2 linked regions of the Rhinolophus ferrumequinum genome follow. Each later gene encodes a partner of the first gene's protein in a complex. Links are inferred from orthologs where the notes say so. Each region holds a gene or a part of one and is shown in the gene's direction. Other genes may lie near its edges.

Region 1 (7,488 bases):
GTAGGAAGAGATGAGGGACTAGACCAGACAGCTGACACATTAGAGGTGATGGGCATATGGGAAAATAAACCACTGGTGATAGGATAGAAGCACCCAAGGAAGTACTGTCCTCACTGTGATGGGGTGATGGGGATGTTTCCATTCACTTTGGGAGAACGGCACTGGATGACTTTGAGATTTACGTGAATGTTATGGCGAATGTATGGCGTTTATGTGAATGTTATAGCCTATTTAAAAACTTACTCTATTTTTAAAATCTAACGTGAAACAAGTTATGCTGTAATTCAGGCAATCTTTAGCTCATTAGATGAAGGGCTAAACTAAGATTTTGGAGACGGTCTACTGCTCCTCTGCCATTCCTTATTCTGTCCCCAATACCCTGTTCCCCACTTCTATTACCTCCCCACCCCGTGTCATCTTCTTTTATTTTAGCCCTATCATAAATGAAGTTAAGCATAATTTATAATTTACTAAAATCTGAAATAATATTTTGCTATTAAACCAAGACAAACTATATGTCTAGTCTGTGGTCCCAAATAAATGAATTTATGGCTTATTTTTGTGGATAACAATCAACTTTCTTTAGAAATCAAAGCAAATGCCACATTCACATTAAATGGGCAAATTAATGTCACTATATATTTGTCTAAGTGTTTCATCTCATGTTACAGTTCCTAGTAGGTCTACTCCTTTGCCTAGGATATTCCTGCTGGCTCCATACAATGAGATAAAGCTAAGTATAATATACATGTAATGCAGTATTTCTTAAATGTTCACAAGGAGGCATTTGTTTACTGGAAAGAGCATGAATTTGGTGTCAGTCTTAGCTTGACCACTTTCCATATGATTTTGAACATTTATTTAGTCCAGTTTTTTTTCAAACTGTAGATTGCAACCCATTAGTAGGTTGTGAAACTGATTTAGCTATTGAAAACTATTGAAAACTATTTTTAAAACTATTTTTAAAAAGTGAGATGGAATAGAAAATACCAGTGCTTTGCATATAGTAAGGGTAAGTATTGTTTCATGAAACTTATCTCAGTGAAGACATGTCTATGTGTTCTTCAGTGGTCATGATATAAAAGGTATTTCTTATGGGTTGAAGTAAAAAAATTTTGAAAGACAATGTCTTAACTATTCTGAGCTCAGTTTCCATAAAATGTGATAAAATCTCTTTCACAGGGTTAAATGAAGTAATGTTTGTACAAGGTGTGATCAAACAATCTGGTGAATGTTTAAATTAAAAAAAATTCATTATAGTAAAAGACACATTGCCATTAATTCTCCTCAAAACATTCCCCCTCGCCTCGAACACACTTATCGCATTGTTCTTGCCACTTTCTGAAGCAGTTCTGGAAGTCCTCTTTTGTGAGTGTCTTTAGTTGCACTGTCGTGGCTGCCTCAATGTCCTGAATCATTTTGACATTGGGGAAGAGCCAGAAGTTGTACAGTAACAGATCTGGTGAATAAGGTGGATGAGGACACATCGTAATGTTTTTGACAGAAATTGCCAAACCAGAAGTGATGTGTGACACGGAGCATTGTCATGATGGAGGATGATTTATGGCACACTATACAACACACCTTCTCTCAACTGTAGCTCACACCCGACTGACTGCACCGAACAAGTTGAAACTTGTCACTCACTGTTACTAAGGTTCCACACACCGCTTCCCGTATTGAAGATCCCTGCCTTTCCGTTGGATGGCACTGGGCAGCAGCATTCATCGTATTTTGTTATCACAACGGAAAGGCTCCGTGTCACACATTGCTTTGGTACAGCAATTTCTGTCAAATAAAAACATTGCGGTGTGTCCTCATTCACCTTATTCACCAGATCTGGCACCATGTGACTTCTGGCTCTTCCCCAAAGTCAAAATGACCATGAAAAGTAAATGTTTTGAATCGATTCAGGACATCGAGGCAGCCACGGTAGCACAACAATACACTCATGAAAAAGGACTTCCAGAATTGCTTCAGAAAGTGGCAAGAATGATGGGATGTGTGTGTTTGAAGCAAGGAGAAGTATTTTGAGGGGCATTAATGGCAATGGATCTTTCACTATCAAAATTTTTTAAAATATAAACACTCACTGTATTTTTTGATCACACCTCATATTCATACACAGTAGGAGCTTGAGTAATAACTGCTAGCTTCTTTTTTTCTAATAAAAAAAAACCCATGGGAAAAAAATCATTTTTTATAATTTCTTTAACCACAGGGATGTTTAAAATATAACTGGAGCCGTATTCTGACTTGGGTCCTCTAGTTTTACGAGCTTTTGATGCATAAGCCAACTTCTTTCTCCAATTTGATGAAATGTAAATAAGATAAATGACATTACCTGACCCTGTTGGTACTTTCCTGGTGCTATATCAACAAAATAAACTTTGACCTGTGGCAGAAACTAAAGGTACAGTTAAAATACAAAGATGAATCCTTTCTTGCCTTGAGGAGATCAGAATAGAGGGCCTGGGAGACTCGTAGAAACAGAGAGTAACCAAAACACAAAAGTTAAGTCAGAAAGACAAAAGTCATAAAGACATACAAAGAAATTCACACATATGAACTCTTAGAGCTAGAAACACAACACTTGAAAGAAACTCTTCTACTTAATACTCTATGTATGGGAGGGGGGTCTCTGTTAACAAAGGACTTATAACTGCCTATAGCTATAAGAAGTTGCTATTTAAAGTTTGACCAGAGATGTTCCTGAAATGTTTTTGTTTTTTCTTTTTTTTGTCATTGGAAAATAAACTTCCTACTATAAAAAGCAGGGCTGTCACATCCCTTTTTACAATGTTTCAAAAAGCTGGTCTTATGGCCCTTTGGAACCCTACCCCTGGAGAGGATGTATGAGTGACATTTTTAAACTAGGCTAAAGCAGGGCCATCACCTCTTGATACTTGCCTGACAGCTGATTGGGAGGTGGCCAAGAGCTGCTGGTCCTGACAGGTGGACTGGTGACTCCCCACTCCAGATGGGTGGTGACAAATTTAAACTATCTTTGGCACTCTTGGCCTCTTTCTCAGCTCATCTTTCATTACTGTACTCCTGCTTTAACCTAGCTTATCAGCTTGCCCTCTCCTCTTGATTTGAGCAAATTCCCATTTCTACTCTTCAGCATACAGTTTTTAAGCCTCTCCTCTTTTTATTTTGTTCTGCTGGATCATATCCAATAAATCTCCTAAGACCTAGCTCACAATATTTTTGAGAAGCCTTTCATTCACTCATTCGCCATATACTGAGTGGCTGGGCCTTCTGGATTAAATAACCATACTCCTCTATGTTCCTTCAGCAATTAGGTACCCTATTTGTTTTACTTTTGCACATATGACGTGTTTTACACAGCTATTTTCATACTATTACCTTTATTCTGCCTCCCAATGAAACTGAAGCAGTTACCCTCTTTTCATCATCTATATTATTGTCTCAATAATAGTAATATAGTACTATACATAGTACTAATCTGTATTTTAATCCTCCCAAAACCCTGTAAAGTGTTAAGATTCCCGGGCCCACTTTTCAGACATAGAAACTTAGGTGCAAAGAAGTGAAATCAGTCACCCCAAATCAGCCTCAGGGAAGGTGGCATCCAAGATCTGGGCTCAAATAACTAACCTCAATGTAAAATATTAAATAAAGCCCTGCGAAGGTTGGGACAGAGGTTACATTAGGACAGAGGTTCTGACTGACAGAGCTCCCAATCAATAATGCGAACTGGCAAATACACAAACCAGCACCAGAGGTCCATTTGCAGGGTGCGTTTTTATTTGTTTAATTGTACGTGATGTCGTTTGGAAGGAAGGGTTGTGCCGTCCAGGCTTTTATCATTTCACTCACTTCTCCCTACCTGGCCCGGTCCTGCCCCTCCCTGGAGGGATCGAAATCCAAAGGCTGGAGGCCAAAGGCTGCCCAGACAGGTGGTGACCTCTGAGGCAGAACCGCGGCCTCGAGTCGCACCGCTAACGGCGAAAGATTGACGTGGTTGGACCGCGCCATTCCCGAAGCGATAAGGGACGTAATCACGGCATCGTCCTTTAAGTGAATAGGAAAAGGGTAGTGAGGGTGACTATCTTCCCCGCCCACCCTCTCTCTTCCTCCTCTCCCCGCTGGGCCCCCAACGTCCATTCTACGGCCTGATAAATTACTAAGGGAGTCGTGTGGAATAGGGGTGCGGGGGAAAGCCACTGACTGCAATTGCGGTAACTCTGTAGGTAACTCAAACGGACTTATTTACATATAATTTGCATGTACTTATAGAAGTACCCTATATATCCGTACTTCTAACAGGGCACCCACGCCCACCTACCGCACTCTGTTCGAGGACGGGAGCCCTAGCCCCTTATCCAGCAAATTTCACTTCCCTTTCGGCTTCCTTAGCCTCGCAAACTCTCTTAGGCCCGCCTCCCAAACATTGGCCCCGCCTCTCACACGTAGGATCCTCCCCTCGTACGCCACTCCCTCCCCAGTTTCCAACCATCTTCCCCGCCCCCTTTTCTATTTCTGAACAGGCATGTTCCGGGCAGCTCACCCGCCTCCTTAGATTACTATGGGCTCGGCAGGGTCCTGAGCGTCGGAGGAGCACGAAAGCATATCCCAAGAAGAAGGGCTTGGACTCAGAAGAATCGAGCCCTGCTGGGGATTTATATTTTTCTTTCTTTCTTTTTTTTTTTTTTTTGGTCGTGGTTGTGCGGAGAGAGGAAGAGAAGGCTGTGCGGCCCGGTCGAACTTGAGACAGCGCGAAGGCCCCTTCAGGCGCTGCCGAGGGCAGCCCCGCAGCCGGGGCCTGGTGCAGCCGCCGCGGCCGCTGTCAGGGAAGCGCAGGCGGCCAATGGAACCCGGGAGCGGCCGCTGCTGCTGAGGCGGCGGTGTCGGCAGCCCGACCCCGACCGCCCGCACCCCCTCCGCGGAGGTCCCCCGGAGGTAAGCGACTCCTACCCCGGGAGTCCCCCTCGTGTGGGTCCCTCTCCCACCGTGTCCCGCACGGCTCCCCCCCGCCCCCACACCTGGATTCGACTACAAAACTGCCCTCCCGGTGGCAGCTGCACCCCGGGTCCTTCTCCACCGTGTCCATTCAAGCCTGGGGTCCTCCTGTGCCTTTTGGCTTCCTCTTCTGTTTAGCTCCTCCCTCTGCCCCGGGGATTCCCCCCTCCCTCACTCTTATCCCTGCTGCCTCCGTCCCGAATTATTTTTCCTTAAGTCACGAACTCTTTGCACATCAGGACACCTCTTAGAATGTCCATTCTTGGTTGTCCTTCCTCGTCGTCGGTGCTCCTGCCCCAAACCTTTCCCATGACCTCCGCCTTTACCCCTTTTCCTATTTTGCCCCTTTCTTCCAGTGTCTCTGCAGCCTCCGCGCAGAGTTCCCATTTCCCTGAGCTAAAGACTGGGGCCCTCTCTTCCTCTGCTGCTTCGGATTCCATGACCTCACCGCCCCCCACCAAGCTCCTCACTTCCAAGAATTGCCTATTCCCCTCTCCTTAAAGGATCTCAGCGTCATTCCCAACGTATCCTTCGCATTCTACTTTGACTTTCATCCTTGCTCCTCTTCTCTGGAGTTCTTTATGACCCCTGGAACTTGCTTTGGCTTCCCTTTATCCCTCCCTAATCCCCCGACCTCTGGAGGTTTGTCCCTATAGAAGTGAGAAGATACAACAGCACCCCTTCCCGTTCAGCACTTCCAACTTTGACACTTTCTCCGTCGAGTTTCGAGAACTTTGCTGATCCATGGGACACTGGGTTCTGTTTTCCCCGTGGTCTGTCTGTATTCTTTCTGTCACACTCTTTTATCTCCATGTACAACTCATTTCAGGATCAGCTAAACCTTGAACTAAGAAGAAAATGTGTTGGGAGGACGGGGAGCCTAGCTGTGTCATTCAGGCTTTCCTGGACAGAAGAGTGTTTCTGAAGGATGGAGCAGGTTTTGAAGAAGTCCCCGATCAGATTACACTTTGTTGTCTACTCAGAATCAGTCACTAGTGGAGGGGAAATGTCCTGCATGGAAACTAAGTGAGGTTGTGAGAAATTTCCTTTTGGATTATGTAATGTTAGGCTTGTCTTAAAGGGGTCACAGAATAGAGGGTCCTCCCACCTCTGGCCAGATGCAAGAGGAATCAGCTTACTAGAATGGTTTTGGTTGATTCCCTGAGAGCTTAGGGCTGGGGTGGGGTTGGGGGGTGGGTCACTGGAAAAAGGATCAGGAAACAAGGGAAAGAGCTTGTACATTCAGAATCAGGACTCCTGGGTCCAACGTGTGACTTGCACGCTTGACCTCTACAGTGACCTTTTTGGGAAAATGGTCCACTCTCTAGGCATCAGTGCAATAATTGGCTAATAGCAGGGTGTGGGGTGGGGGTAAAATTAGACTGTTTGTTTGTTTACAACACACTCTGGGTTTCTCAGACGAAAAGTATTTATTAGTGGTGGTTTAGTTATCCTGAGAATTCTCCTTCGTTCTGGTCCCTCTGTTGGGTCATTCTAGTCTATAGCCATGGGCGTAAGTCAGTTTGAAAGACAAGCTCCAGGCCTGCTTCTTTCTTCCCACTGCCTTAAGGTGCTGTTCCGTTCCTCTTGCACTTGACCCATAACTCCAGATTCCATAGGTGGAAGTATGTTTGTGGGCAAGCCCTTTGAGGAAGCTGGCTGGAAAAGAGAACTCTGGAGTGAGATGGGACTTAGGAAACCAGTTGCTCCCTCGTACGCCGTGTCTGTCTCTCGGCCTGCGCTGGCGAAGAGGGCGTGTGAAGTTCCATTCATCATCTGACTCGGGGCCTGTTTGAAAGTAATCCCACTGCCTCATCTCACTTGCCCTTCCTAGTTGGCCAGAGCGTAGTCTACTCAGAACCCCCCTTTTTAGGAGCAGCTTCGCTCCTTGGAAGCACCCCCAAAGAGAAATCATATTTCCCTAGTTCCCCCGCTGCCTTCTCAGAGCTGGGTCCACACCACAGGAGAACATGTTTGCTGGACACTATCCAAAGCAGCGAATTGAGATTCTTTGATTTGGGGAGGAAGTCTGGAAGAAATCTTTCCGTACCTGGCAGGGGACAAGAGAGGGCCTAGTCCAAGTGCATTTGGGGCTTGCAGTAGGGAGGAACAGTTCAGACAGAGGTGAGCCGACAGGTTGCTTTGTCATCTGTCTGTTTCAGCAGAGGCTCCCAGAGCTGGCTTGGGCTGTCTGGCTGGAATCTGCTTATACCAGCTCGATGGCCTTGCACAGAGAATTCTCAGCCTAATTCAATATTGACTTAACTATCCTGAGACCACTGCCCTCCCTACCCTCCTGCTGGTAGTTGAGAATGCCCTCTCTCCTGGTGTCAACCCCCCTTGGTGCTTTGGGTACAATTACCTGGTTCCCGGCAGGGCCTGAGCCTGCTTGACTGCTTGGCCCTGTGTTTCTCCAAGAAAAAAGTGGTACTCAATCTCCATCGTCACCACTGAGGTCGAGGGGGAAAGATGAGCGAGGTTGGAGATAGACTTTGGGACTTG
Region 2 (7,543 bases), on another chromosome or scaffold:
AATGGCCAGGCAGGTAGCACTATAAATAGACAGTTTGGTGTAAACTGATCAATGGCCCATGATAAATAGCAAGGACTATAGGCTGGGGATTTGTTGCAAACTTGAGCGCACATGTCTGTCCTCAAGGAAGCCTCTACATAGCTCTAGCTCACTGTTGTCTAGACCACTGCCAGGCCCAGTGTCACCAAATTTCTTAATTTTTAATGTAAGTCAGAAATCTGGATTTTTTTTTTTTACATTACAATTCCAGATTTTAAAATGCTAGCAACCAATCGAGATTTAAAGCACTGTAAGCCAAGTAAAAGACATTAGTGGGCAGGCTTTATCCTGTGAGCATCCAGTGTGCAAACTTTCTTCTACATTTTATTGGAACTTTGTCTATGAACAGTGGCCAACGTTTATTAATAGTTCACTGTGTGCCAGGCAGTCCTTTTCAAAGTGCTTTACATGTATTTCCACATCCAGTCTTCTCAACAGCCTAAGGGGAGATACTGTATTATCCCCATTTCACAAAGGAGGAAATGGAAGTTAAGTAACCCGCTCAAAGCAAGTGCATTCCAATTCTGGCAGCCGGGCCCTAACACAGTGCTTCTCACATAGTCTCACCTACTGGACCGTGATTCCTGCATTTTAGATACCACAGACACCCACCTTTGGGTTTCCTACAGTGTCTGGCACTCCTTACATTGAGCTGAAATTATACTGCATGTTACAGATGTGAATATACCTTCATTCATTCACTCAGTAAAACATTCAGAGTACGAGGCACTCCTTACGTGTACATTGAGCTGAAATGATACTGCATGTTATAGATGTGAATATACCTTCATTCATTCACTCAGTAAAACCTTCTGAGTGCCTACCATGTTTTCTGTCCTGTGTTAGGGACTGTGGGAGTCCAGGGACATGGCCTTTGCCCTAGGAACACAAAACAATTATCACTACTAGAGTGTACTGCATTACTAAATAAAACTAACTGCAACATTTTACTAAGTATCAATTATTAATTCACCACATAAAGCAGGAAACGTATAATTAAACCCAGTCTCTGGTGATCTAACAGTATTTCACAAAGGTAAAAATGTGTGGAGAGAATGAAGGGAAAGGTTGATTTTAGGGAAGAAACTTCAGAGAGCACTTCAGAAATGGTAACACTTCATCTGACAAATGATTGAATGGAAAGAAACTTAACTGAAATGCATGTGACAAAGATGGTTGGTTGAAAAGTACTCTCTTTTGTATAGGAACAGACTTGGGGAAGATATTTGAAAGGTTTCAGAAAATACTTCTTACTAACTCTGTACTTCCTCACAATAAAAGATAGGAGTATGGAAATACAGGTAGTTTCTCTGAACTGGTTATAGAAGTCAGATTCTATTGTGACAACACATTATAACAAATGTCTATTGAAAGTCTTGGGGCAGAGAGGGATTACAGAAGGGTTGATGGATGTGTTTGCTATCTTGATTGTGGTAATGGTTTTATAGGTATAAGCATATGTCAAAACCTATCAAATTGTAAACTTTGAGTATTTGCAGTTTATTGGATATCAATTGTATCTCAATAAAGTTGTCAAAAATTTCCTAGACTCTTGCTATGCAAAGTGTGTTCTGTAGGGGTGGCCGGTTAGCTCAGTTTGTTCGAGTGGGGTGCTCTTAACAACAAGGTTGCCAGTTTGACCCCCACATGGGCCCTGTTAGCTGCGCCCTCTGCAACTAGATTGAAACAACTACTTGACTTAGAGCTCGTGTCCAGTCCCTAACACAGGACAGAAAACATGGAAAAACACACTTACAAACAAAAATGTGTTCTGTAGACAGCAGCTGCCACCCAGAATGCTTATAAGAAATGCAGACTCTTGGGCCTCTCTCCTGAATCAGAATCTGCAGTTTAGTACGATCGTTAGGTGATTCTCACGCACACCGAAGTTTGGACCTCTTATTTTCACGAATGTCTGGAACTCATTTCCTACAATGAATTGTTAAAGGGAAGTTATATTCACTAATCTTTTTTAGGTCACAAAGAGCAATTAACTACCTACAGGACATTCCTTGATAGTTCTGTTAGGAAGAAGTTTAAATGTTTGATCTAGATGTATAGATTTTTCAAGAATATTCAATGTGTTAAATTCCAAAACAATAAAAAATGTCAGTAATGATAAGTTTATCATATTTTACCTGTCCGTCTTCCCAGGTGTATTCTATAGGTTTTAATATTTATACTGTTTTTAAAAATGTCTTTTTCTGCTGACAAAAGAAACGCTTTCTATAGAAAACTTGAAAAACAGCATCTGTAACAGCATGAAATAGAGTTGTGTTTACCAATCTCATTATCACCTCAAAAGTTATTGAATACTAACGGTAGTACACAGAGCTAGACACAGCAAGGTAAGATATTTATGACTTTCTAGAGGTTAGGCCTTGTAATATGCATATTTTTAAAGTAATTAAAGCTAAAGCTAAGGATCCCCGCTAAGTAGAAAAAAAGAAACCACTTGGCTTGGAGTAATAGAATGAGTTTTGAGTCCCCTTCAACTATAGAAGTCAGTTTACCATAAGTTAATGAAACTTAAGCTTCCAGGTCCCTCACTTACCTAGGCCCTTTCCAAGGCCCTTGAATGAGCACTAGCAATATATTCACCTGGTCAAATGTTTCTGTAAAAGTTTCTAAAGTAAGATGTTTAAGACCATTGTCTCGTGGCATTCTGACTTCCTTCCATCGTTGCTCCTCTGTGTTAGGTGGTGTAGGAATGGCTACGGGCATTTTTAGGATCTGGCTAAGGGGACAATGATTGAATTAGGGATACATTTAATTTGGGTTTAGAGGCATGCATTTATGTGGTTTGCAGTCATTTCCGCATACTGTGAAATTATTGCTCACCATGGGTGTGGGAATGGCTTTCTGGAATACACCTAGTGCCCATTATGCCAACTCAGCCAGTACCATGTCACAAAGGTGAGCGCCAGATGGCAAAGACACTCTGTGATGCCCGGCACAGGAAATATACGAGTGGTGGAGGAGAAACACTATTTGAAAGAAAAGGAGAAATTAGTCCCTAGAAAATCCTTCCAACCATCAGAAGTAAAAACTTGTAAGTGGCGGGAATCAATTACCTCAATGCCTACTCTAAACTGCTTAACCTAAAATGGAGGTTCTCACTCATCAGGAGTCTACCTAGTAATGTCAAACTCGTATCTACAATTATAAATGCCCCATACTTATTTTTGTTTTTATGTGAATCATGCTAAATGAAATATATTAGAATTCCTGAGTTTATGTAGTTGAACCACAGTGAGTATCTATATGTGAAGTCACATTTTTTTTTTTGCATCTTAATGGATCAGATCTCCTCTTAACGTAGCAGATAAATCTTGTCCGGTAAAACACAAGGGAGCCGGAAAAACCATATACAAAATTGCCATTAAAGCAGCAAAACAACCCTGAAATATTATAGCTCACATGTGAGAGAAACTTGATACGGTTTCCCCAAATTTGACAATAAACCTAAAAAAGTGCACGCTAATGTCAGTAATGAGTTGTGAAGCTGAAACTTATAAACCATAATAAAAAACCCTAATTTGTGATCACCACGCTAAAAAAGACTGATCTATCTTAATAGAAAATATTACAAAATAATTGTCATAGGAAAAGGTGATCAAAAGTACGCAACCAAAAACGTGGGGAAAATGATCATAAATGGTGTCCATAAAGTCATCTAGAAACACAGGTGAATATGCTTATCTTTAAAAAAGTAAAATAAATTATGTTTCTGGACTTTCGGATGCCCTGTAGAAGTGTGTCGGGCAGTTAATAAGAATGTTATGGTTATGTGTGTTTGTGGGTTTTATTAACTTTTCAAAATGTCATTTGTGACTTCTTTCACATTCTAAATATTCATTTCCATACCTAACTTTCCGCTCCTAATATTTGGTATTTTTTTCTTAATGAGGGTCCCAGCAGTTGTTTGAGCTTGCATTCCCTCAAAACCTGGATTTGCCGGTTTCCAACCACCTCAGAGAAGCCACTGAATTTCTCTGCAGCCTCAGTTTTTTTCCAAAAAAAAGGTATTTGTCGGGCATTTCCGGAGTTGCTGGGAAGACCATATGAAAACTGGTGGGGTAGAGTTTTGAGAGCCAAACTCTGCAAATGGGAAGGGTCTTTGACCTGGAGGGTAGGGAGCTTGCCTGTAGTCACCAGGCCTGCACAGACCACACGCGCGGCTTCTCCGCCCTCCGAGACAGCAATACCCCCCCACGCCCTCCGAGACAGCAATACCAGCGGGACAGAGCCGAGGGGCGGGGACGGTGCGGACCGGGCAGGGGGCGTAACACACCCTCCCCACCCGAGGGGATGAGGTGGGAACGGAGGCAGGGCGCTCAGGACCCCCGGGAACTGGGGGGAGTGACGGGCGGTTGGACACAGGACACAACTGCTGGTGTTGAAGGGGCGGGGCACTAGGCCTCAACCCCTTTCTAGGAGCCTTGGAGCCTTCTCGGCACCGGAAGTTCCGGTGTCGATCAGTGGAGGTCAGAGGTCAGCAGGAAGTCGATACGTGGCCGCCGCCTGTCCCCGCTGAGGAGGCACAGCAGCCGGAGATGGCGGCGGTGCTGAACGCGGAGCGACTCGAGGTCTCCGTCGACGGCCTCACGCTAAGCCCGGACTCGGAGGAGCGGCCCGGTGCAGAGGGCGCCCCGCTGTTGCCGCCGCCGCTGCCACCGCCCTCTCCTCCCGGGGCCGGCCGGAGCCCGGGCGCCGCCGGCGAGCACCCGGAGCCCGGGGAGGCGACGGCTGGGGGCGCGGCGGAGGAGGCGCGGCGGCTGGAGCAGCACTGGGGCTTCGGCCTGGAGGAGCTGTACGGCCTGGCGCTGCGCTTTTTCAAAGGTGAGCGGGACCGGCTCCGCCCCGCCGCCGCCGCCGGGCCCGGGAGCCCGGCCCGGAATGTGGCCCCTAAGGGGACTGAACCAGTCTCACCTCACCCACCCGTACTGGGCCGCGGCCGCGGGAGCCGGGCTCCGTCCTTGGGGGTCCCCGAAGTTTGTCACTACCTGCTGGGCCACTGGGTCACACCCCTGCGGGGCCGGGAACCTTGGTGTTGCCGTCCGAGTCCCGCCTCCCTGAGGTTACCAGGGCATTTTACCTGATTTAGCTTCTCGGGTTTCCACCGGCCGTGGTGGAAGAATGAGTCCTCTCTTTCTTATCGGATCCCATTCTGGAATTTTTTGACCGTCACATTCCTTTTCATGTTTTCAATAGCTTGGCACATCACGCCCCACCGATTTATAACCTTTTCCCGTAGTGGAAGGAATCTTTTCCTAGGCTCCGTACGTACCCTTTCCAGTCATTCCGGGGAACCATAAACTCGAATAGGACTTGCTCACCTGGCAGTATTGATGTGGCAGAAGGAAGTCAAGTATCAAGCTAACACATCCTCCTCTGGCTTGTCAAACTCTTAAGAGAAGGGATGCCAGCTATGTTCTAGTAACTTCTGGATGGTTAAAATTTTACCTTGTAAGCCATGTGCCAAGAGCGAATTCTCAGAATAAGAGTTAAAAGTACCCTTGTGCTTCTTGCAGAATAAGCTGTTAAAATGTCTCTTGTCTTAGAGCAAGATTGTGGTGTGTGGGATTTTTACTTGGGTGGTTGATTCACTTAGTCAAATGGTGGTGGTAACAGTCACATGATACCAGTCAGTGGGAAAGACTGACCAAAAGTCCGTTAGTTTGATTCTTAGAGATATTTAGTGCTCATGAGCCTGGCAAATGAAACTTTAGAAATGGTTGCGAGGTTCCATATACATTCCAGAACATCATATTTATGACACATCCCAGAGGGAGTACCTTTTGGAGTACATATTTTACTAGATGAATTTGAGTCGTTCTGTGTACCGTGTTTCCCCCAAAATAAGACCTAGCCAGGCAATCAGCTCTAATGTGTCTTTTGGAGCAAAAATTAATATAAGACCCGTCTTATTTTACTGTAAGACCCGGTCTAACACAATATAACATAACATAACACCGGGTCTTATATTAATTTTTGCTCCAGAAGATGCATTAGAGCTGATTGTCTGGCTAGGTCTTATTTTCGGGGAAACAGGGTAGTGATGCATGCAAAAATTATTTGCTGTTTCTCAAAATAACTTTAATTGTGCAGAGTAATGAAAGTCTCTCGTCTACAAAATTTCCAGAACAGTTGATCATTCCACATTCATTATACTTTGTGTTAAAAAGTTTGCTCTTGAAATAATTGTCATTGCACAATGAGTTCAGCCCTCTGTGCACTAGCTAGCTTGGGGAATTGGATATGGCTAATGGGTTTTGGGTCACTTGACCCTTGAATTTAGAGTTTCCTGTGGTGATATTGCTTATATAAAAACGTGGTGGTTTCTGTACAATTCATATAACTACATTTTACCTTAAATTTTTATTCTTAGAACTTATTTTTCCAGGGTTTAGTAAAGTTGGAGTATATTGTAGCAGAATAGTGTGTAAGAATAGAAAAGACCGACTTCTAATCCTGGCGTTTGTCACGTGACTAACAAAAAATAAATGGTAATTTTACCTTCTGAGCCTGTCTTATTTGAAAATAGTAGTATATGTTCTTTGAAAGATTAAAACAGTATGATGTACAGTAAATTTAGTTTTGGGTCAGGAAGCCCTGGATTCTATTGGTAAACTAGACAATGAACTTTCCTCTTCCACATTCGGTCTTCATATGTATACATACATATTAATATATATATATATATGGATTAAATGAGATTTGATGTCTCATATTTAATATTTAGTGGTCTAAACCTAATATTTTGCTGAGTGGTGGGACTCCTAGGGGAATCTGTAGTTTGGGGTCCTAGTCATCAGTCACTTTAGAGGAAAAAACAGCTGCATTGATAGGTATGGTTCAGTCAGTTCCTAAATTAAGCTTTCAAAGCATTATCCACATACTGAAAAGAAGAAATAGCAGTGTAACAATTAAAAGCTACCTTTCTGCATGGATCATTGCAGAGTTAGCAATGAAGAGGCTATTAGTACATGAGATGCCTAATTGGGGCGCGGGGGAAGGAAGGATCTGAAAGCAGTCAGAAGAATTAGGGGAGGTGGGATGAGAAATATGTTGCTGCTTTTGTTTTAATGTGTGAATTTTCCAGTGTAATACTTGGCATTTTTATCAGTCTTGTCAGGACTTCTAATTCTAATAGATCACTATTTTGCAGTTCTGTATTCGTATCTCACAAGAATTAGACTTAACATTACACTTTATTTTCCACTGTGGAATAAATATGAATCTTGAAAGTATGGATATCTTTTTTCCATGGAAAATAACTTGGATGGGAATCAGGAACCCTGTTTTTCATTCTGTCCCTGTCATAGTGGTTACAGGCCAGTGATTGAACCCATCATGTCAACTACCTACCCTCTTTATTTTATGAAAGTAAAATAATAGGTGAAAATACGGACAAATACCAGTTGGCATTTCATCATCTAAACTTTAGACATTGTTGAGTCCTTATGGTGGATAAAATTTTATATTAGATTACCACTATAAA

What was found. The genes of interacting proteins can lie anywhere in the genome.
Region 2: the proteins of PI4KB (region 1) and ACBD3 are in contact, whole or in part, in an NMR structure (PDB 2N73), measured with the Homo sapiens proteins. The link is inferred for Rhinolophus ferrumequinum from reciprocal best matches to the Homo sapiens genes PI4KB and ACBD3. Residues at the interface, in NP_001317650.1 of Homo sapiens: Val37, Gly38, Val42, Ile43, Asp44, Pro45, Val47, Ala48, Gln49, Lys50, Ala51, Cys52, Glu54, Val55, Leu56, Val59, Lys60, His63; in NP_073572.2 of Homo sapiens: Gln245, Ile246, Ala249, Leu250, Gln253, Thr254, Gln257, Phe258, Tyr261, Gln265, Tyr266, Leu276, Leu280, Gln283, His284, Gln287, Tyr288, Gln291, Leu292, Val295.

What each region holds. Positions count from the first base shown.
Region 1 is NC_046305.1:51,330,271-51,337,758, reverse strand, and holds the start of PI4KB (phosphatidylinositol 4-kinase beta), read left to right. Parts: upstream 1-4,486; 5' UTR 4,487-4,926; intron 4,927-7,488. UniProt on the Homo sapiens protein: Phosphorylates phosphatidylinositol (PI) in the first committed step in the production of the second messenger inositol-1,4,5,-trisphosphate (PIP). May regulate Golgi disintegration/reorganization during mitosis, possibly via its phosphorylation.
Region 2 is NC_046310.1:14,191,795-14,199,337, reverse strand, and holds the start of ACBD3 (Golgi resident protein GCP60), read left to right. Parts: upstream 1-4,535; 5' UTR 4,536-4,595; coding exon 4,596-4,881; intron 4,882-7,543. UniProt on the Homo sapiens protein: Involved in the maintenance of Golgi structure by interacting with giantin, affecting protein transport between the endoplasmic reticulum and Golgi. Involved in hormone-induced steroid biosynthesis in testicular Leydig cells.